6 linked regions of the Xenopus tropicalis genome follow. The protein of the gene in region 5 interacts with the protein of the main gene of each other region in a biochemical or structural test. Links are inferred from orthologs where the notes say so. Each region holds a gene or a part of one and is shown on either strand. Other genes may lie near its edges. The genes, in order: birc2, gsn, panx1, mapt, casp3.2 and rb1.

Region 1 (3,573 bases), on a different chromosome or scaffold from region 5:
TTACTTTCAGTATAACTTTGTACAGTTGGGAGAGGAGTTTCTTCCCTCCCGGATCCCAGAGTCTTATTTCCCATGGGGTTGAGCTCGTGTCAATTGTTAGTGAACCAAATTGCGCTTTGAATACGTGCCTTAATTGAAGGTATCTATAAAACTGCAAGTTTGGCTTCTCCAATTTCTCTTTGAGTATATTGAATTGGACAAAGATACCATTAATTAGCACATCCGAGAGCCATTTTACCCCATTGGCTGGCCAGTATTGGAAATCAGGCAATTCCTTAAAGTGTTGTAAGTTAGTATTATTCCATAGTGGCATTTGTAGTGAATGACCCTTGATGTTTACTCTGTTTTGCTTTATCAATTTAGCCCATGCTGTCATTGGGGTAGTAAGTACTTCTGGAAGAGGTATTATGTCCCTCTTTTTCCTATACGGTGCATTACGGAGTGCTTCCAATGAACCAATTAGGTTCCCATGTAATGCTGTGAGTGGGTTGTCAGGATCTGGGTTGAACTCTGATAATTGTCTTTACGTGAGTTTTAGCAGAGGCAATTCTCAGTATTGTCTGTGGCAGGGGATTTTCTGGAGTTTAGTAGCCTTGAAAAAGTAGCTGCTACTAGTAGCCCAGTGTGTGTTCACCCTAAAGGTGGCCATACACGGACCGATTTTTTACTTACAAACGACCGATTCGCGAACGATCCGATGCTATCGTTAAGTTATCGTATAGTTGGTGGTGTACGAACGATCGTCGGCCCACTAAACGAGCCGACATTATCGTCCCCAAAATCGATCGGCCAGGTTTAAAAATTTTGGTCGTTTAACGATAAAATCTGCCAGTTGGTGTGAGTGTCAGACATTTGTCTTTCAACGATTGTTCTCTGCGCATGTCACGATTGCCAGCAGCGGAAGTCAACGACATTCGATCGTACGTAGATGTACGATCGTAGGTATTTTACGATAATGATGCGACAAAATCTTTCCCGAATTATCGTTGCCCGTGGATGGCATATCGTATGGGAACTCGATCGCCATACGATCGTTTGTCGATATAATCGTTCATCGCACAACGAGCGAAATCGCCTCGTGTATGTTTATAAAACCTGAGCCATTTCTACGGGCAGAGTATGGAACAGAGTAGGGTGGGTCGTAGGAGCTTGGGATCTTGTTTTTGCTATTGCAGCAGCACATTCCTTTCGTGATAGGCGTTTGCAGGCTTTCCCTTCTGGGGCCCCATAGGAAATCTGCAATGTAAAGTTGTGCTTGAGTTCTGCACTGAGAGGGGAGACATATTAGATTTTATCATCATGCCTAAAACTCTTTTCTCTGGGGGGGGAGACAGCTGTGTTTCTTATGGCAGTGTCACTCCTGTTTATTGGCAGCACACCATGGGCTGCCTGTTAAAGGGGACGTTGACCCAAACGGTAAAATTTATAGCTAGAGAGAATGCACAAAATGCATATGTGATTTGTACACTGTGCCTTTCCCCAAGCCAGGGGACTGGCTGCATTGCTCTAACAATGTATCTAAAGTTGGATGTAAACCCCTCCACCTCAACAGATAAGGGGGTTTCACTGCTCCTTTAATATTGGGAATATAAGGGATGAGATTACCTTGTAGCCTAAATGATCTCTGCACAGGCTTCTAGTTAGTTATGAGCCTCTGCACAGGCTTCTAGTTAGTTATGAGCCTCTGCACGGGCTGCTAGTTAGCTATGAGCCTCTGCACGGGCTGCTAGTTAGCTATGAGCCTCTGCACGGGCTGCTAGTTAGCTATGAGCCTCTGCACGGGCTGCTAGTTAGCTATGAGCCTCTGCACGGGCTGCTAGTTAGCTATGAGCCTCTGCATGGGCTGCTAGTTAGCTATGAGCCTCTGCACGGGCTGCTAGTTAGCTATGAGCCTCTGCACGGGCTGCTAGTTAGCTATGAGCCTCTGCACGGGCTGCTAGTTAGCTATGAGCCTCTGCACGGGCTGCTAGTTAGCTATGAGCCTCTGCACGGGCTGCTAGTTAGTTATGAGCCTCTGCACGGGCTCCTAGTTAGTTTATGAGTATTCTGACTGATAGTGGGACCAGGGGTAAAAATTACCCTTTAGTTATAACCTTTACCTGTAATTAAATATGTCCTGTCCTGATTAAATATATCATTGCAGAAAATGTATTTATGGTGAACTGCATTTTTCCATTGGCAGATTTTTTTGCGAAATTCGGTGTGGAAAAAGTTTGCCGTGTGTCAAAAAAAAAAGTTAAAAAAGTTAAAAAAGGTGTGGTTGCATGTAAAAAGTCGAGTGTCAAAGTCTTTCTTTGTAAAGGGATATTGACATTTTTCCACATTTGTTAGAAATATGTTACTATCCAATTAATAAACTATCTGACTTTCTCAGAAAACCATTACTGGCCTGTGTTGGTGACTGACCCAGCGTCTCTCCACGTGGCACTAGGAGGGTAGCACAAAGCCCTGATAGGCTGGGGTGTTGTTTACATTTGTCATCAGCTGACAGTCCCATGGTTAAACACGTGAACACTTGTGTTTAGATTGACTTTTTAATTGTGATCACAAATCCCCATGTGCAATTGCCTAAATAAGAATTGCAGCTGTTGGCACTAATACAATTAGATTGGAGCTGGAGATTGTAAATCTGATAATTTGTCAAATATATGTTATTCCAGCATTGTTAATTAATACCCTTTTATAGGACAAATATGTTAAACGTAACTAACTCAGAGTCTTTTGCCCACTCCTCTAGGTGCTGATGTCTCACCGACCAATGCGGTGATCTGGAGAAGAATTTTGTTTTTCTCTACTGCTATTTACATTATACTATGGCTTGCTAAACCCTTACAAAAGGAAGGGGGCATCTTTCTTAGGGGTACTAAATACCACCACTTTAGTTATAGTTAATACAGAAAGCGTAGCATTTATGGCCATAATGGATTATAGAGTATTTCTTACAATGAAATGTAGCAATCAACTTAAAAAAGATCTTAGCACTGAAGAGCTAGCGTTTTACTATCCTACCTGAATTGTATATAAGAGAAAGAATAGAGTGTAGGTAGAAGTAAGAGCTCCCAGTGTGCATGCCACCATAAGATTGTGCTGGCTAACTAGATGTGGTTCAGTAGCACTGAAATCTTTGCATTCACTGCATGTTTTTATTAGAACTGTGTTGCAGAATAGGAAACGTAACTGATAATATAGTAACTATCTCCCTAGGAAAGATGCCCCCTTCCTTCCCTTTCACAAACCATGGCAAATGAGATTTTGGACAGACGCCCAGACCTTGCTAAGAGGTTGAAGTCAAACCCAAGCATGTGCAAAATTACCTTGGAATTCTCATGTGAACTCTACCGTCTCTCTACATTTAGCTCCTTTCCAAGCAATACACATGTGTCTGAGCGCAACCTTGCAAAAGCTGGTTTTTATTACACCGGGCAAGATGACAAGGTCAAGTGCTTTACCTGCGGCTTGATGCTTGATAATTGGAAGAAAGGTGACAATGCATTTGAAAAGCACAAAAAGTTGTATCCCAGCTGTAGTTTTATTCAGAATGTCCCTTCAGTGAATCTTGGCGCATCTCTGTAC
Region 2 (3,573 bases), on a different chromosome or scaffold from region 5:
CCCCCCCATAGCATATATAGCTCCCTATAGCATATTTAGGTCCCTATAGTTAGCCCCCTATAGTATATATAGCTCCCTATAGTATATATAGCTCCCTATAGTTAGCCCCCATAGCATATATAGCTCCCTATAGCATATATAGGTCTATATAGCATATAGAGGTCCCTATAGTTAGCCCCCTATAGTATATATAGCTCCCTATATTTACCCCCCCCCCATAGCATATATAGCTCCCTATAGCATATATAGGTCCCTATAGTTAGCCCCCTATAGTATATATATAGCTCCCTATAGTAAGCCCCTTATAGTATATATATAGCTCCCTATAGTAAGCCCCTTATAGTATATATATAGCTCCCTATAGTAAGCCCCTTATAGTATATATATAGCTCCCTATAGTTAGCCCCCATATCATATATAACTCCCTATAGCATATAGAGGTCCCTATAGTATATATACCCCCCTATACTTAGCCCCCCTATAGTATATATAGCTCCCTATAGCTACCCCACTATAGTATATATAGCTCCCTATAGTATATATAGCAAAAAAAAGCATGACATTGCCTCAGCTGGGACAAGGGCTGGGAAAGGTTTGGTGGTCAGACGAGACCAAGTGCTTTTTGGCCAACATTCAAAGCAATGTGTGGTTCAAATCTACAACTGCCCACCTCCCACTAATACCTGTGGTAAAGGATAGTGGTGGTAGCACCAAGCTGTGAGGCTGCTTTTCAACAGAAGAGGCCATGATCTTCTTAAGCAGAATGAAAAATGGATGGTGGGAAATACTGGAGACCCATGTTGAACCCAAAGAGATGGTCAAATTAACCATGGAGGGTCAAGAGATTCCCACAATGCAATACCCTACCATGTGTAGATGATCTGGCCTTGTTTTCCGCCGTGCTTATAATTATACAGAATGATGTAGCTGTCTCCACCATAAAACTGGCCGTAAAGGGATTTAGAAACAGGAACTTTCTTGCAGTCTTCAATACGCCAAATCTGGTAAAATAACAAATGATCATCTTGTGGGTCATGAAGTGCACGATTCCCAACTGCCCCCTAGTGACTGAAGGTAAGAAGACCAATCAATGGATTCTGATCATGGCATTAAAACTCACCTGTTTTTGGCCAGATCCATCATCCACCATGCCGTGCTGGGCAGCCATGGCCGGGGATTCGTGTAGACCACTGACGTCGAAAGGCACATTTTCAATTTTGGCGATGTGGTGGGGGACGTAGGCAACACCCATGCCCTCGGTGGCCTCCTTGTCTTTCCAATTCTTGAAGAACTGTTTGAACAGGGGAGTCTCGCCATTCTCTGGCAACACTTGGACCTGCGGGAAAATAGAGAATATTGTAACCCTGACACAAGAACCAATGAAAACCCAAACAGAAGGGTCTACAGCAGCTTGGACCAACCAGTGGCTCAATCATTTCAACGTTGCTCCTGGTGGCCTCTAGACAGGCGCTTATTTTTGAATGGAGGAGGCAAGTATAAAGACAAACAGAGCCTCCTGTAGGCTGCCAGTCCGTATAGGGGCTGCCAGTTAACCAATCACAGCCCTGATTTGGTACCCCCAGGTACATTTTTCATGCCTTTGTTGCTCCCCAACTCTTGAATGTGGTTCATGGGTAAGAAAGGTTGGGGACACCTGGTCTACAGCAATAGTTCTTGGACCTTTTTTGGTTTGAGGTCCCCTAAAGGATCAACATGTGGTATTGGTAACAAAGCTATGGATATAAGTAATGCAAATCAATGCTGGTTTGGGAGCCTGGCATTACAAAGCCAGGAGATGCCAGGACCCACCTGAGTTTGCTTTGGGTAGCCCATCTTGGAAATGAATTCAGTGGCAGTCTTTAGTGCAGCTTTCTTCTCTTCCATGTTGGCATTCCTTCCTAGAGACATAGGTTAAAATGTTAGGACACTGATGTGGGTCTAGATACTCCGAATCCCCAGACACCCACAATATGCCTTCACGAATACAAACCTTTCCATACAAAGATCTTTCCATCTGAGCCGTGATCAAGTACAAAGCAGTCATCTGAGTTGAGGGCCGCCTGGGTGAAGGGGTTTTGATCTGCCACTAGAGACACCGTCATGGCACCCTTTCCATCAGAGACCTTGTAAGGTGGAAAAGGAGAGGTTAAATCCATAGAGAAAGCTTCACATTCAAAGACCCTTTAGGCTACTACACACACAGTTAACCTCAATTTGCAACTAAACACAAATAAATACTAATATATAATCTATATATATATCTCATGTATTCTTTCAGCTTTGGCACATGTATATTTAAAGTTTCAGACCACATGGATGAACAAATATAGTGAACATTCCATTCCATGTATAATACCCCAGAACACACGGTAGAATAAATACAGGACCAATATTCCAGAATATGCATAATACCCCAGAATTGGCACTGTATTTATCCTGCTGTGGGTTCTGGGGTATTATACATGGAATTGGCACTGTATTTATCCTGCTGTGGGTTCTGGGGTATTATACATGGAATTGGCACTGTATTTATCCCGCTGTGGGTTCTGGGGTATTATACATGGAATTGGCACTGTATTTATCCTGCTGTGGGTTCTGGGGTATTATACATGGAATTGGCACTGTATTTATCCTGCTGTGGGTTCTGGGGTATTATACATGGAATTGGCACTGTATTTATCCTGCTGTGTGTTCTGGGGTATTATACATGGAATTGGCCCTGTATTTATCCCGCTGTGGGTTCTGGGGTATTATACATGGAATTGGCACTGTATTTATCCTGCTTTGAGTTCTGGGGTATTATACATGGAATTGGCACTGTTTTTATCCCGCTGTGGGTTCTGGTGTATTATACATGGAATTGGCTCTGTATTTATCCTGCTGTGGGTTCTGGGGTATTATACATGGAATTGGCACTGTATTTATCCTGCTGTGGGTTCTGGGGTATTATACATGGAATTGGCACTGTATTTATCCTGCTGTGGGTTCTGGGGTATTATACATGGAATTGGCACTGTATTTATCCTGCTGTGGGTTCTGGGGTATTATACATGGAATTGGCACTGTATTTATCCTGCTGTGGGTTCTGGGGTATTATACATGGAATTGGCACTGTATTTATCCTGCTGTGGGTTCTGGGGTATTATACATGGAATTGGCACTGTATTTATCCTGCTGTGGGTTCTGGGGTATTATACATGGAATTGGCACTGTATTTATCCTGCTGTGGGTTCTGGTGTATTATACATGGAATTGGCACTGTATTTATCCTGCTGTGGGTTCTGGGGTATTATACATGGAATTGGCACTGTATTTATCCTGCTGTGGGTTCTGGGGTATTATACATGGAATTGGCACTGTATTTATCCTGCTGTGGGTTCTGGGGTATTATACATGGAATTGGCGCTGTATTTATCCTGCTGTGGGTTCTGGGGTATTATACATGGAATTGGCACTGTATTTATCCTGCTTTGAGTTCTGGGGTATTATACATGGAATTGGCACTGTATTTATCCCGCTGTGGGTTCTGGTGTATTATACATGGAATTGGCACTGTATTTATCCTGCTGTGGG
Region 3 (3,573 bases), on a different chromosome or scaffold from region 5:
TGTGATAACTAAATCTAATATCCTTAATATGAACTAATGAGCAAAGCCAGCAATGAACTGTGTCTTTATACGGCTTAAATCAGATTCACATGTTTTGGTTTTATTCCCCCGCCGCAGATCTGAAATCAGAACGGCCTGATCCGATTATTTACTCAGCACTAACAGAGAAGCCTCTGTGTGCCCAGAATAGAGCTGTGTGTGGCATTGGGTCATACCCCGAGCTGTTTGTGCCCATAACAAGCCGGGCAGGAGGCAGCCACATTGACTGACAGTGAGCAAAGGGCCTGGTGCCTAGGGGTGACCGACTCTCTCTGCAGCATTGTGCTTATTATAGATAATATAACTCCTACCATCTACTGTCTCTCCTTTCTGACTAAAAACAAACTCAGAATTAATAATAATCTGAGAATAATCTCAGAATTTGTTCTTGTAATAATAAAACCGCACCTTGTACTTGATCCCAACTAAGATATAATTACCCCTTATTGGGGGCAGAACAGCCCTATTGGGTTTATTTAATGGTTAAATGATTCCCTTTTCTCTGTAATAATAAAACAGTACCTGTACTTGATCCCAACTAAGATATAATTACCCCTTATTGGGGGCAGAACAGCCCTATTGGGTTTATTTAATGGTTAAATGATTCCCTTTTCTCTGTAATAATAAAACAGTACCTGTACTTGATCCCAACTAAGATATAATTACAGGTATCGGACCCCTTATCCGGAAACCCGTTATCCAGAAAGCTCCGAATTACGGAAAGCCCGTCTCCCATAGACTCCATTTTAATCAAATAATTCAGAATTTTAAAACTGATTTCCTTTTTCTCTGTAGTAAAAAAACAGTACCTTGTAATTGATCCCAATTAAGATATAATTAATCCTTATTGGATGCAAAACAATCCTGTTGGGTTTAATTAATATTTTATTGATTTTTTAGTAGACCTAAGGTATGGAGATCCAAATTACAGAAAGACCCCTTATCCGGAATACCCTTGGTCCCGAGCATTCTGGATGGTCCTATACCTGTACCCCTTATTGGGGGCAGAACAGTCCTATTGGGCTTATTGTTGAAATTATTTTTTTAGTAGACTTAAAGCATGGAGATCCAAATTATGGAAAGAGCCCTTATCTGGAAACCCCAAGTCCCGAGCATTCTGCATAGTAGATCCAATACCTGTATTAAGAAGTTGCTCCTCGGTTTGCTGCTGTAACAGCCCATAATGTTCTTGGAAGGTTTCCAGTAAATGGTTAAGTTTGTAAACATCATATACAGGTATGGGATCAGTTATCCGGAAAACTCAGAGTCCAAAACAATCTGGATTACTGGTCCCATACATGTAACCAGTTCAGCTGAACCTTTGAGCACCTGAGTGGGCAAATAAATCCTATTGCAAGAGGCTGTGTAGTCCCTGGGTATGTCCTGTTCACAAACTCTGGGTACCCCTCAGTGCCCCAGTTATGGGGGTGTATAATATTCTGCATGTGATTCCTATATGTGTCCCTCTGTCTGTCAGTCAGCAGTCAGTATTAATGTTACATGCACATTTCTCACTAAATCCTTGTTCTGTTCAGTAGGATCCAATTATATTTGGTACAGACCCATCTATCAAGACAAGCGCGTGTTCATAAAGTGCCCATTGTCCTTGTCCCCAGAGCAGACAAATCAGTTTTCTGCATATATTAAGGTTCTGTATCATAAGGGGGAGAATAAAAGGGATTGTGTATCACAAGTTAGAGTTTGGCTCATGTGTTTATCTGCTGAAAGCCTGGTACTGTCCGGGTCATGGGTTCCACTCCCCCCAATATCCTGCATGTTAATATGGACCCTAAATGGGGTATTGTTCATATCCCCATTGGCTCTTCACACTTATTTATTCTTTGCAACTTCTACATTTTATCCTTTTCTCCAATTTGTAGGTTCCAAGGGTTCTATGGCTTTCATATTTCATAGAGTGGAAATAGCCCTGCTCTGTGTGCTCCATCTGTATTCTCTCTCTATACTGGGCGGGGCTACATTCATAAAACAGAGCTTCTGTATGGCTGAGTAACTCAGTGGGGGCAGAATTTTTCATTCTGAAGTTATAACTTGATGAATCCCCCCAAACAGGCAGATTTTTTGCCCCATGACCTTGTTGTACGACATAATTAGATATTCCGCCCGTTCGTCTCTGATATGGTCCTTGTGGGATGGATGTGCATGGTCCATCTGGTTGGCCCAGCCCTTGCTTGACCAGATCTACCCATCCTTGGCCAGTATAAAACGTTATTAATCTGATTTGGGCATAAGGATGGGGACAGGGTTAGAGAGGTTTGAAATTCTAGCCTACAAGGTTCATTATAGGTTCTTAATTCTTAGCCAATCATATTGGGGCAACCTCACATACTCGCTTAATAAATCTAATGCAGTGTTTGTGGTATAAAGGAATATATGCAGTGTCTATATGCAGCTCGCCCCTGAACATTATTATTTTTTGCTTCATTGTATCCCTTTTCTGTTCTTTGCAGGTTCCCAGATAAGCTGTTTTGCCCCCACATCCTTCTCATGGCGCCAGGCTGCGTACGTCGACTCTTTCTGTTGGGCAGCAGTTCAGCAAAAACACCTCTCTCAGAGCGACTCTGGGAATGTCCCCCTGTGGCTGCATAAGGTACGTCCCAGACAGTAGCACATATAGGGGTATTGTAATAAACAGCGCAAAGTTTGCCCAGGAGCAGTAACCCATAGCGACCAATCAGCAGGTAGCATTTACCGGTCACCTGTTTAAATATCTTATTGGTTGCTATGGGTTACTGCTCATGGGCAAACTTAGTGCCTTTTATTACATATGAGATATAATGTCTATTTAACTCCACATTTCACGCTTTTTCTCTTGTTCACATGGATTGTAAATGGAATCTAAGGATGGTGCACATTGAGATGTTACCCAGTAGTATTGCCATGTCCTTATTCTAAGTAACATGCTGTTGCTCCTAAAGGTGGCCACACGTTAAGATCCGCTCGAGCAGATCTTCTCCCGATATCCCCACCTACGGGTGGGTGATATCGGGTGAATTTAGGTTAATGCGAACTAGAACGAATTAGAACGCCGGTAATAGGCGCAGTCTCGGTCCCTGATCCGAGTACACTTTTTAACTTGCCTGATCGATATCTGGCAGATATTGGTCGGGCAGGCCTGTCGTTTGTGCCCCTACACGGGCCAATAAGCTGCTGAATTGGTCTAAGGGACAGATATCGGCAGCTAGAATTGGCCCGTGTATGGGGACCTTTAGTCTTTTCCCTTCCATCTACACAGAGGCACAAGGGAATCCCATACCCAGCATAGTGTAACAGCTTTGACTTTCTAGCTGTAAAAGGGTACTGCCCTTCCGTATGCCAGGCTGTCCCTGGGCACTAGCTACCCTAGAATATTCAGTGCTGTCCCTACCCAGTCTATATTTGTGCTTAAAGGCACCATGATCCCATTATTATTATAGTTGCCCTGTGCCATGCTTTCTGTAATGAACATAAGCTCATATTGCCTTAGGCAGTTGTTACAGAGCTTGGGCATTTAGAGGCAAACTAGCTACTTATTTA
Region 4 (3,573 bases), on a different chromosome or scaffold from region 5:
AGAAATTAAAAGGGCTGATTTGATGTTCCTCTCTTTATGAAAGATGTGGAAAAAGTTATCTGAAGTTTCTAATGTTTTTCCAAACCAAAAGAACATCAGAAAAGACCTTTTTCATTCTCCTGATAAGTTCCTCAACAACGTCCTCAACTACTGCATGTATGTATGTATGTATAACTTTATTTATAAAGTGCTACAAGGGTACGCAGCGCTGTACAATCTTACAATGTTATAATAAATACAATAAATATATATAAATAGACAGGAAATAAGTGCCATGTGGTATGAGACACAGTAGGAAGGAGGTCCCTGCCCCGTAGAGCTTACAATCTAAGTGGTTGGGTAACATACAGGCACAAATAGGAAGGTAAGAGTGCACCAGGTACAGGCATTTGCCCTTGAGCCCAGGACTGGGCAAAATAATGTTTTAGGGCTCCAGAAGGTAACAGCTGAGCTTTTTCTTAAAGAGAGTGGGTGAGTGTTCCCTACGGAGCGATTCAGGGATAGAGTTCCAGAGGTAAGGAGCAGCGAGATAGAAAGGTTTAAGACGAGAGAGCGCAGTGGGTGTGGATGGTGTAAAAAGACTGAGGCTCCGAGAGGAGCGGAGGAGATGACCAGGAACATGCAGGGAGACCAGTGAAGAAATGTAGTGAGGAGCAGAGGAGTGAAGGGCTTTGAATGTTAGCAGAAGGATTTTGTAAGCTATCCTTTGCTTAACAGGCAGCCATGCTAGAGAGATTGAGGTTGAGGCTAAACAGGTTTCCTCTTAGGAGAGAGCAGGAGGATCCTGGCAGCAGAGTTTAAGATGGATTGTATGGGAGAGAGGTGGGAGTCCGGGAGGCCGGTTAGTAGGAGATTGCAGTAATCTAAGCGGGAAAGGATAAGGCCATGGATTAGTGTTTTAGTAGTAACTTGTGAAAGAAAGGGGCGTATCTTGGCAATATTCCCCTCAGGTTTTGGCAGTGTTAATTAATAACACTGTCAATCCATATTAGAGAAGGAAAGTGACTGGTCAAAGATAACCCCAAGGCAGCGTGCTGATTTAACAGGGTTAATGGTCATGTCATCAATAGTAATGGTTAAAGGAGGAGAAGGGCTAGGTTTGGGCGGGAAGACCATGAGCTCTGTTTTAGCTAGGTTAAGTTTGAGGTGGCATTGGTTCATCCAGGAGGAGATAGCCAGGAGGCAGTTAGCAATCTGGGTTTGTACATCAGTGGTTAGTGAAGGTTAGTGTTCAGAAAGGAACCAGCAGGTGGTAATGTGTGCATTCATATTAACAGTTCTTTAACTCTTAATATCATGGAATTTAAAAATAATAATAGTAATGAATATCAATTGCAAATGTGCCTAGAATAACACTTTCATCAATTTCACATCATCTTGTTTTTTAAGGTTTACTTATCTTTAAAACTGGGCACAAGTTGGGCGAGGCTATGAATAAGTGTGGCCAGCGGTACCTGGTCTGTGGTGGATGTTGCCAAAAGATCCACACTTAGAAGTGATGTGTGTCAAGTCGATCGGCTTGTGAGTTATCTGTATCTGAAAGTGGACAGAAGAGAGAGAGAACAGAGTTAGAAACGAGCAAACGAGAGAGAGAGCAAAATCTAATAGGTCACCTGATTGCTAAAGTTTAGCAGCTCTCTAGGCCAGTGGCCCACTTCATACAAGAGCTCCCTCAATAAGAACCCTGCTGCCTCTGTACAATATGGCTACACAGCACATTAAACTCCCTGCGTTAGTCAGCAGTAAGGTTTATTGCCCTTAAATACAAGTACAGCTGTGTTTACTTGGAAGGGTTGAACTTGAGGCAGCAAATTTGGGCCATAGCAACCATATAGCTGCTAAATAAAAATCTAAATAATTAAAAAACCGCAAGTAATGAAAAATAAAGGCCAGTTGAAAATTTTCAGAGCACTCTCTACAACATATTTAATTTAAAAGTGAACAGCCCCTTTGAGCGAAGCCCCGTCTGCAACTGCAAGAGCACTAAAGCTTGCAAAATTGTAACCCTTAGTGCTTATTACAGAGCCTGTACTTAATGCCTGACATAGGAAAGGTGGTAAGTACAAGGCTTCTCTGCGTCTTGGGTGACCGGCAAGTTAGCGGGCAAGTAAGGATGTGTCGCTCCCTGCTCATCATGTGCCCTGTTGCTTTATCTTCATTGTCTGCATAGCTGTGTATAAAGAGGGGCCACTTACTGTGCCTCCCCCTGGCATATGTTTCAGATTGTCCTTTGACCCACACTTGGACTGCACACTACTCAAATCGATCTTCTTGTGAACTATCTGCACCTGTATAAAAAAGAACAGAGGTAAGTACATTATACAAGGAAAGGAATATGGGTGAGGGCAGTGAGCTCTATCGTGGTTTATGGAATTATATATCCTCTGATCTACTGCACCATAAATCTCTGGCCTTTGCCAAATCTGCTTCCCTGGTACCTTGCCGCCACCTGGCTGATGCCGAATGTTGTCTATTGAGCCGATCTTTGAGCGCACATTCTTCAGGTCAGGCATGGCTGCTGGGCTAGTGACTGGCTGCAGACGGCTCTTGGCAGATGCTGGGGATTTGGGAGGGGTGCGAATGACAGCAATCTTTTTGGGCTCCCGGGTTGGGGGTGTTTGTGAAGAAGAACGTCCAGTTGGTGTGCCAGGTGATCCAGGACTGCTGTACCCGCTCCTTTCACCAGATTTGGGCGATTCTGCTGCAACAAGGGTAAAACTGCATTAGAACTGAACGAGAGGAGAACTACATGACAATTTAGACAAATGGGGTCTGATCATGAAACTAGGAAACCTGAAACAAGCCTGGTACTGCAACACTTGTGGCTTCTCAGCCAGCTGTAATATTCAGCCCGTGGCAGCTGTGTGCATTTGGTTGTTCTAGACCAGTGATCCCCAACCAGTGGTTCGTGAGCAACATGTTGCTCCTCAACCCCTTGGATGTTGCTCCCAGTGGTCTCAAAGTAGGTGCTTATTTCTTAATTCCTGGCTTAGGGGCAAGTTTTGGAGGCATAAAACCTGAAGTACTGCCAAACAGAGCTTTCTGTAGGCTGCCAGTCCATATAGGGGCTACCAAGATCAGCTCAGAGCACCCACACATTGAATGTAATAATCATTATGCAATCGCACTATTGCCTATTAAACATAGCAACGGTATAGTCTGACAGTAGCAACTTAGTAATATTAATTACATGGGTTAATCTGCTCCCCACAGTATATGTGCCACTCACCTCTGTCTGGCTTGGCACCGCTGGGTGGCGGCTTTCTCTGATCCCTTCTGACAGCTGTTAGAAAAGAAGGTATTTATTACAGAAAGCCTTGCACTGTCCTACAGAACCAAGCCCACTCTCCTACAGAACCAAGCATGCTGTCCTATAGAACCAAGCCCACTCTCCTACAGAACCAAGCATGCTGTCCTACAGAACCAAGCCCACTCTCCTACAGAACCAAGCATGCTGTCCTACAGAACCAAGCCCACTCTCCTACAGAACCAAGCATGCTGTCCTACAGAACCAAGCCCACTCTCCTACAGAACCAAGCCCACTCTCCTACAGAACCAGCCCGCTGTCCTACA
Region 5 (4,229 bases):
ACCTAAAAGAAGAGAGATAATATGTATTCACTGCAGATCCAGGGATCCCTTATCCGGAAATCCATTATCCAGAAAGTTCCGAATTACAGAAAGACCATCTCCCATAGACTCAATTATATGCAAATAACTCTAAGTTTTAAAAATGATTTCCTTTTTCTTTGTAATTATAAAACAGTACCTTGTACTTAATCCCAACTAAGATATAATTAATCCTTATTGGATTAATTATATAGCAGACTTAAGGTATGAAGATCCAAATTATGGAAAGATCCCTTATGCGGAAAACCCCAGGTCCAGAGCATTCTGGATAACAGGTCCCATACCTGTACAAGGATCTCAGTCCACACACCACTGGCTTTTTTGCAAAATTGTTACTTGGTTTTTAATATAAACTTTATCAAGATAATTCATCAGACTGATATAACCTGCAGCTCTCTAATTACAATAACATGATATATGAAATGATTATTGGAAAGGGTTGCTCAACAAATGCTGAGAAGCAAAGGAAGGGGGGTCTATCTATATGAATCCCTTACTGGGAAGCACCTTCATGGATGTTAAAATAACACATATAAATAAACATCAGTAAAATGCCCATTTGTTTTCTACTATTATGCCTAACACCCTGACTGCTACCTACACTTTCACCTCAGTAGTCTTACAAGGCTCCTGCCCTCATGTTTAGCTCATTTATTCCTTCTCCACATCCCTAGATCAGTGCTGACAAAACTAGTGACTCTTCAGCTGTTTGCAACAACAGTTCACATGAACATCTGAGAATGTTAGCAGCTGTACTTTATATCAGAGCAAAGGCCCAATTTTTAACACTTCTGATCTCCTAAATCCTGACGGTTTCAGTGTGTGTGTGTATTTATATACATTTTATATAAGCTTTACATTTAAAGTACTTATCACTGACTTCAAGTGACTTCCCACTTATAAAATATTCCTCCTATATGTCCCCTGTAATAAAGCTTTGAAGTTGAAGAAGAAGCTCACTAAGGCTAGATTAATAAAAGCTCCAGGCTGCCAAATGTAAATCGGTCATTGGACTGGGTTAAGTTTACCAATGTTGAAAAACAAGTTGCCCAAGGGAAAGGGCATGTGGTAATAACCAGAGATATAGCTAGATAGATAGAGCTCAGTGATGTCAAATATAAGGATAATAGGAATACACTAAATACACTATATATAAGTTATACATAGTTAGAACAGATACAGGTACTCACCACACTCCAAATAAGTTCTGGGTGCTTCCCAAACAAGTCAAATATCTCCACGAACTGGAAGCACACACGGAGAAAAAAGAAGGGTTTATTGATGATTCACATCATTCACCACATCGGTGCGTTTTGGTTCGCCACAGCGGTTCAAAGAGAAATGAAACATGTTGATGTTTATACACAAACACACAAGCCTCCACAAGCTAATGATGATACTTATTACATGAATCATGTCACGGTCAGTGAAAATAATCTTATCTACTTTATCAACAATTTGTTTGCCTTGCACAGGTACATGTGTAAACTTGTAACTTCAATATCAGAAATAACAAACTTGCATTCTTAAAGGGACACTATACATTGAAATATACAGGCACTGGGCTGAGATGCCCACTCTGTGGTGGAGAGGACACAGATCATATACTGTACCTAGATATGAAGGGAGTTATTTTATATATATTATATCTTTATCTTATACAATAAAACTGACTGGATAATAAAAATTAGGACAGAAAACATAGCACTCAATCTATATCTTTTACCTTCCTAGTACAAGAAGTAGACTGTCCCTCTACCACAGTGTATTATAGGATTATGATCTAAATGAAAAATGTGTGCTTCAGGATACTTAGGGAATAATGTACCCCATGCCAGCCATTAGTGAGTTACATTATTACATGTACAAGTCCCTTGTGGGCTGTGCAGATTTTTCACGAGGCTTGTACAGTGCTCATAGTGACAGAATAATACATGTATCAAAAACACGAAAAAAACATTCTATTCTATGTTCTGTACTTATTAGTAAATGGTTTCCTCTAAGTTCCATGGACTGTTAAAAAGCACCTGTACTCAACACCCTGGTCTACTTGTGTTTCATACCATGGCCAACATACACAAATGTACACGAGTGTATGATTTTATAATTACTTATTAGAACACGTGCCTAGATGCTAGTGAAATGTGCACATATGGACAAAGGGCACAGCTGCACCAAAGCATGTAACTATAATTCCTGCCATAAAGCAAGACAGGACTGCTGTGGTATGGCAGGAAAAACAGACAATAAAATAACTACCAGGAAACATTCTGATATGGAAACACAAAATCAAACATTTTCAAATTTTACATGCTGCTTTCAGAAAGAAATAAACAACAATTTACTATTTTAAGGAAGTGCTTGCAGAAAATATATGCTCATAGGAAGTTGGTTTTTTTTTTAATAATTTACCTTACACGAATTAGAACAACGGGAGCTGATAGAGGTGCCTTACAGGAAACTACAGGCTGCCTGTACATAAGAATGAACTTATAAAAGCTAGTTAGCACACACTAGCCTGGGTACTCAGTGCCAATGTGTTCAAAAGTCTGGTACAAAGAATATTTAAAGCAGAAAAGAACACATTATAAAGGTGTATGCCACGTACATAGAGAATGTAGCGCCTCTTGTCATTACAGCACATCCGACATAACTTGTTTTCCTACCCGGCGGGCATATAAATACATTATGTATGTGTGTATATAAAAATACCGCACTAGGATTGTGCACACTTACCCAGAGACAAGGCGGCTATAGCGGAGAGTACAGTACAGGCTGCTCCGTTCCTTCCTTGCTGCTTTTGTGTCTGGCGTGTTTTTCCAAGACAGCAACAACACAAGCGCTGACCTCACACAAAATAGTAAGGGAGGGGGGTTTAATCCAGAGAGACAGCCTGATTGGTCGAGCGCTCGCCTATCCCAAGCTATCTCAGGGGAACCTGTAAACGAACAATACGGAAACGTTCCGACCAATGGGCTGGGCCTTAAACGGAGCAACTGGTGACGTAACGCCATTCTGCCAATCAGAAGCGGAATGCTGGCGAAGTTACCTCTATATCTCCATGGCAGGGATATTCCTGCTGGGTCTCCAGCTCTTACATAGTTAATGAACTAGTGCAGCTATTAGGAGTTCGTGACTGGAGGCTGAAGACAAACGATAGACGAATTCTCTGGGAATGCAGTTTCTGCATGATATAGCTCCCAGCCTTTACCTTGCAGCAGTAGAGGCGGAGTAATAATATGTTTGGGAATGGGCGGGAAATTTGTATATTGCAGCGGGAGCTGATGTGCGCATTGTTTGGAGATATGAGAAGGAAAAGGTCGGGTGACGTATATGTTGCACGTTATAGTTATATTCATTAGTTATAATTAGTTATAATGAGGAGGTTAAGTATGAAAGCAAATCCTACTCTGTAGTATTCTCCTGTCAATGGGCACAGGGGGTGGATTTTTTTTCTCAATAATACAAACTTGAATGGTATTGGGGCTTTTTTAATAGAAATTTTATTTCTATTTATTTGACATTTTTATTGAAAAGGAATGAGGTGTAAAATATGTGGAACTGGATCCTTATATCACCTTGGGGCCATGGGATTAGTTGGAACTTCTGGAAAAACATGATGGGTTGAGAAATTCATCAATAAATCATGAATCTACACAACTGTAAAGAAAAAAAATACATTTCATTACAGTAGCAACAGCTCCCCTTTAATAGAAGAAAACAATATCTTAAATGTAAAAAACAATGAATAGGTGCACTACTCAATCAGGTATTGTATGGAACCATAATTATAGTATTTCCCTATCAGTATAGGCTCATATAGTGAAAAATGTACCCCTATTGTAAAATATAAGGCTATTATAAGTCACTGGGGAGTTCCACTACAATATAGAAGCACAAGGTTGAAAGCTGGGTGCTTTTACATTGGAAGAGGAAATACAAGACCCAAGAAATTTGTAATGTGACCATCAAGCAGGATAACTTGAATATAATTAGGCAGGAAAAAAGATAGTTTGTACTCAATAAAGTAGGCAAGAAGTCCAGGCACGCTGCCTGGGACCAACGATGAGAACTGATAAATTGCTGTCAGATTAAATAAAGTGGGACAGAAAGTTACAATAAGTAAAAAAAGAAATGGTTATGTAGAGCTATTTCAACTAATTAAAATAAGGGTTCTATCAATTTGGGTT
Region 6 (3,573 bases), on a different chromosome or scaffold from region 5:
AGAACCAATCTGTCATTTCCATGGATCCTTCGGGTATTTGAAATTAAAGCTTTTGACTTTTACAAAGTAATTGAATGCTTTATCAAAGCAGAGCCAAGTTTAACAAGCGATATGATCAAGTACTTAGAGCGCTGTGAGCATCAAATTATGGAGAGCCTGGCTTGGCAATCAGTAAGTAAAGCTTTTTTTCCATTGACTTGTCCAGCATTGTACATTATTAAGCAACGTGAAACCGTTTTATAAATCTTTACTGAATTTTTAAATCCACTTTTTTATCTATAATTCACAAATTCACAGAGTAATGTTCCTGCTAAACTGTGCTCTCGTTCTTCAGCACAAAGCTTTTGAACTAAGCACAAATTAGGGTGCATGGACTTTGTAGGGGTGCACAGTCCCACTCATCATGCTACAAACACAATTTTAAAAACTCTGCATAAAATTCATTTTTTTGATCACAGTCAACACAAATTTGGGGAATCTTAATTTAGAAATGCAGTATCCACTCTAGGATAGGTTTTGAACCTATTGATGTTTCATATCTTTGCTCTTTATTATGTAGTAAAACCTGGCCCATTCTGTTGCCTCAATTACCTTCTTTGTATATTAAAATCCATTTATGACTGGATAGGAGGATTTATTTGGCTTGTATATGTCAGCTATATTTATTTTTGGGGGTTCTGATGGTGTTTATAAAATATTCTACATAAGCCCAAATGAGCTCGTTTCAAAAAGTGTCCTTTCCTTTTCAACCAGGATACCCAAGATATAAATATTAATTTGACCTACATAATGTTTTATATATTTGTTTATTATAATTTACCCTCAAAGCCTATCAGAAAAAAACTATAGGTATTTTGAAATAAAAATTAGTACAGGTATGGAAACCCGTTATCCAGAATGCTCCAAATTACGGAAAGCCTGTCTCCCACAGACTCCATTTTAATCAAATAATTCATTAATTTTAAAACTGATTTCCTTTTTCTCTGTAATAGTAAAACAGTACCTTGTACATGATCCCAACTAAGATATAAATAATCCTTATTGAATGCAAAACAATCCTATTGGGTTTAATTAATTTTTTATTGATTTTTTAGTAGACTTAAGATATGGAGATCCAAATTACAGAAAGACTTCTTATCCGGAATACCCGTGGTCCCGAGCATTCTGGATAACAGGTCCTATACCTGTACAAAGTGTGCAAGGTACAGTTACATTAAAGCAGCGGTTCACCTTTAAGTTAACTTTTAGTATGTTATAAAATCGCCTGTTCCTAGCAACTTTGCAGTTGGTCTTCATTATTTATTTCTAATAGATTGAATTGTTTGCCTTCCTCTTCTGACTATTTCCAGCTTTCAAATGGAGGTCATTGACCCCGGCAGTCAAAAAACTATTTCTCAAAGAGGCTACAATTGTATTGTTATTGTTACTTTGTATTACATATCTTTCTATGCCGATCTTCTCTTCTATGCAGATCTTCTCCTATTCATATTCCCTGCTCCTGTTTAAACAGCCTGGTTGCTAGGGTAAATAAGACCCAAGTAACCAGATAGCTGTTGCAATACCCATCTGGAAAGCTGCTGAACAAAAAGCCAAATAACTGAAAACCCATAAAAAAAATGAAGACCAGTTGCAAATTTTCTTAGAATATCAATGTCTACATCATTCTAAAAGTTAATTTAAAGAGTAAGAGCTAAGTGGATGAGATCCCAGCCCCATGGGGCTTTCTTTGTTCCAAGAAAAGTTTAAATTTTTTTTGTAAACTTTGTTTTTATTGTTTTTTTACATGTTTCGTTGGTACATTTATTTCACATGTTACATGTATATCATTTTGTTTATTATAGAGAAAAATGAAAAGGTTAGGGGAGATGGGAAGAGGGGGGAACGGGGAGGGTATAAGGGTCAAAAAACATTTTAACATTTTGCGCTCTAGGTCTCTAAGCTGGTACTTATCGTCCCTTACTAGCATTTCAATTTCACCTTCACTTATTTTTTACTTTTATCCGTTTTATTTAGAGGGGGTCCTACCCATTGCAGTGTGTTCGAGAGAGATTGTCCTTATTTAGTATCCAGGTGTCCCATATCTTTAGGTATAGGTCAGTTTCGTTGTCCAATTGATATTTGAGAGCTTCGTTGGCGTGTATATATTCTATTTTGTCCAGGACTTTTTCTATGGATAGTAGATTTGATTTCCATTGGGCTGCGATGTGGATTCTAGTTGCCTTGCATATATGTTGTGTTAAGCGTTGTGCAGAGTTATTGAGGCCTTGTAGTTTGTGTCCTAGGAGCATTGTCTTAGGGCATGGTTGGATGTCCGTATGGAACATTTTAGAAAGGATAGTGGCTACTTTTGTCCAGAGTTCTTGCACTGTTGGGCAGGTCCACCATATATGCCACATAGTGCCTCGTGTGGTGCAGTTCCTGAAGCAAAGTGGTGACGATGTGGGGTAAATTCGGGAAAGTCGTTCGGGGACATAGTATGTCCTATGGAATAGTTTGAGTGAGGTTTCCATTATAGTTACGTTGTAGCTACCTTTGAATATATTTTGGTAGTTTTTAAGCCATGTTTCTTGGGGTATTTCTGTTTTTCGGTCTTATTCCCAGTCTAGCATATGTTGCAGTTTATTTTTTGTATGTATATGATTTAGGTGGTGGTATAGTAGAGATAGCGTTTTCCGGCCCATTGGTGAGGCCTCGCAGATGGTTTCCATTGCTGTTTTATGCATGTTTGTTTTTCCCCATAGTTGTTGTATAAAATGGGTTATTTGTAGTGCATGGAAGTGTTCAGTTGGGGGTACCTTGAATTTTTGCATTATTTGGGTTAGTTGTAAAGGTTTGGATCCGTCTGTGAGTTGGTAAGCAAAGGATATTCCTTGCTCCGTCCACCATTTGAGTCCTTATTGTATCCTGGGGTGAAAAGGTTGTTTCTCCATATTGGTGTCAGCCTTGAGGGCTTTGATGCTAGCTCATATTTGTATTTAAGTGTGTTCCATAGTTGCAGCATTTGGCGAGTTATTGGTGATATGTCTTTGAGCATTTTAAGATCTTGAGTCGGATTCCAGATTAGGCTCGTTAGAGAAGTCGGTTGTATTAGGGCAGATTCAATTTCGACCCAGAGTGGGGCTAGTGTTTCTCCATGTAGTGGGGCAATTTGGGCACATCTTGCTGCCCTGTAATATTGTTGTAGATTTGGGACTCCGAGTCCTCCTTTTGATTTATGTAGGCACATTGTTCTTTTATTAATCCTTGGTCTTTTATTGTTCCAAATAAACATCATAACAGTTCTCTGGAAGCTTTGCAAGTCTCTCTGTGAGATTGCTATGGGTAGGACCCTAAAATAGTACAGCAGTTTTGGTAAAGTCGTCATTTTAATACAGTTAACCCTCCCCATCCAAGAAATTTGTTTCTTATTCCAGCCCTGCATTTCCTGTGTTAAACTTCTATATAGTTGGGGGTAGTTGCGTGTGTACATAGTGTCTAGGGTGGGGGTTAAACTTATGCCTAGGTATGGTAGGTACTTCTCCCTAATCTGGAACTCAAAGTTGAGTTTAATAAGTTTTACCGTGTTTTTGGGGA

The links.
Region 1: the proteins of casp3.2 (region 5) and birc2 form a complex in vitro, tested with the Homo sapiens proteins (3 studies listed by BioGRID, with this or other methods). The link is inferred for Xenopus tropicalis from reciprocal best matches to the Homo sapiens genes CASP3 and BIRC2.
Region 2: of the proteins of casp3.2 (region 5) and gsn, one has a biochemical effect on the other in vitro, tested with the Homo sapiens proteins (2 studies listed by BioGRID). The link is inferred for Xenopus tropicalis from reciprocal best matches to the Homo sapiens genes CASP3 and GSN.
Region 3: of the proteins of casp3.2 (region 5) and panx1, one has a biochemical effect on the other in vitro, tested with the Homo sapiens proteins (2 studies listed by IntAct). The link is inferred for Xenopus tropicalis from reciprocal best matches to the Homo sapiens genes CASP3 and PANX1.
Region 4: of the proteins of casp3.2 (region 5) and mapt, one has a biochemical effect on the other in vitro, tested with the Homo sapiens proteins (3 studies listed by BioGRID). The link is inferred for Xenopus tropicalis from reciprocal best matches to the Homo sapiens genes CASP3 and MAPT.
Region 6: of the proteins of casp3.2 (region 5) and rb1, one has a biochemical effect on the other in vitro, tested with the Homo sapiens proteins (2 studies listed by BioGRID). The link is inferred for Xenopus tropicalis from reciprocal best matches to the Homo sapiens genes CASP3 and RB1.

The regions. Positions count from the first base shown.
Region 1 is NC_030678.2:162,212,435-162,216,007, reverse strand, and holds part of birc2 (baculoviral IAP repeat-containing protein 2), read left to right. Parts: intron 1-2,737; 5' UTR 2,738-3,237; coding exon 3,238-3,573. UniProt on the Homo sapiens protein: Multi-functional protein which regulates not only caspases and apoptosis, but also modulates inflammatory signaling and immunity, mitogenic kinase signaling, and cell proliferation, as well as cell invasion and metastasis.
Region 2 is NC_030684.2:9,687,182-9,690,754, forward strand, and holds part of gsn (gelsolin), read right to left. Parts: intron 2,124-3,573; coding exon 1,991-2,123; intron 1,899-1,990; coding exon 1,810-1,898; intron 1,337-1,809; coding exon 1,121-1,336; intron 1,002-1,120; coding exon 868-1,001; intron 1-867. UniProt on the Homo sapiens protein: Calcium-regulated, actin-modulating protein that binds to the plus (or barbed) ends of actin monomers or filaments, preventing monomer exchange (end-blocking or capping).
Region 3 is NC_030678.2:165,574,076-165,577,648, reverse strand, and holds part of panx1 (pannexin-1), read left to right. Parts: intron 1-2,507; coding exon 2,508-2,647; intron 2,648-3,573. UniProt on the Homo sapiens protein: Ion channel involved in a variety of physiological functions such as blood pressure regulation, apoptotic cell clearance and oogenesis.
Region 4 is NC_030686.2:17,258,456-17,262,028, reverse strand, and holds part of mapt (microtubule-associated protein tau), read right to left. Parts: intron 3,284-3,573; coding exon 3,230-3,283; intron 2,702-3,229; coding exon 2,439-2,701; intron 2,289-2,438; coding exon 2,196-2,288; intron 1,537-2,195; coding exon 1,455-1,536; intron 1-1,454. UniProt on the Homo sapiens protein: Promotes microtubule assembly and stability, and might be involved in the establishment and maintenance of neuronal polarity.
Region 5 is NC_030677.2:44,843,766-44,847,994, reverse strand, and holds the start of casp3.2 (caspase-3), read right to left. Parts: upstream 2,857-4,229; 5' UTR 2,776-2,856; intron 1,284-2,775; 5' UTR 1,230-1,283; intron 1-1,229. UniProt on the Homo sapiens protein: Thiol protease that acts as a major effector caspase involved in the execution phase of apoptosis. Following cleavage and activation by initiator caspases (CASP8, CASP9 and/or CASP10), mediates execution of apoptosis by catalyzing cleavage of many proteins.
Region 6 is NC_030678.2:134,956,760-134,960,332, forward strand, and holds part of rb1 (retinoblastoma-associated protein), read left to right. Parts: coding exon 1-171; intron 172-3,573. UniProt on the Homo sapiens protein: Tumor suppressor that is a key regulator of the G1/S transition of the cell cycle. The hypophosphorylated form binds transcription regulators of the E2F family, preventing transcription of E2F-responsive genes.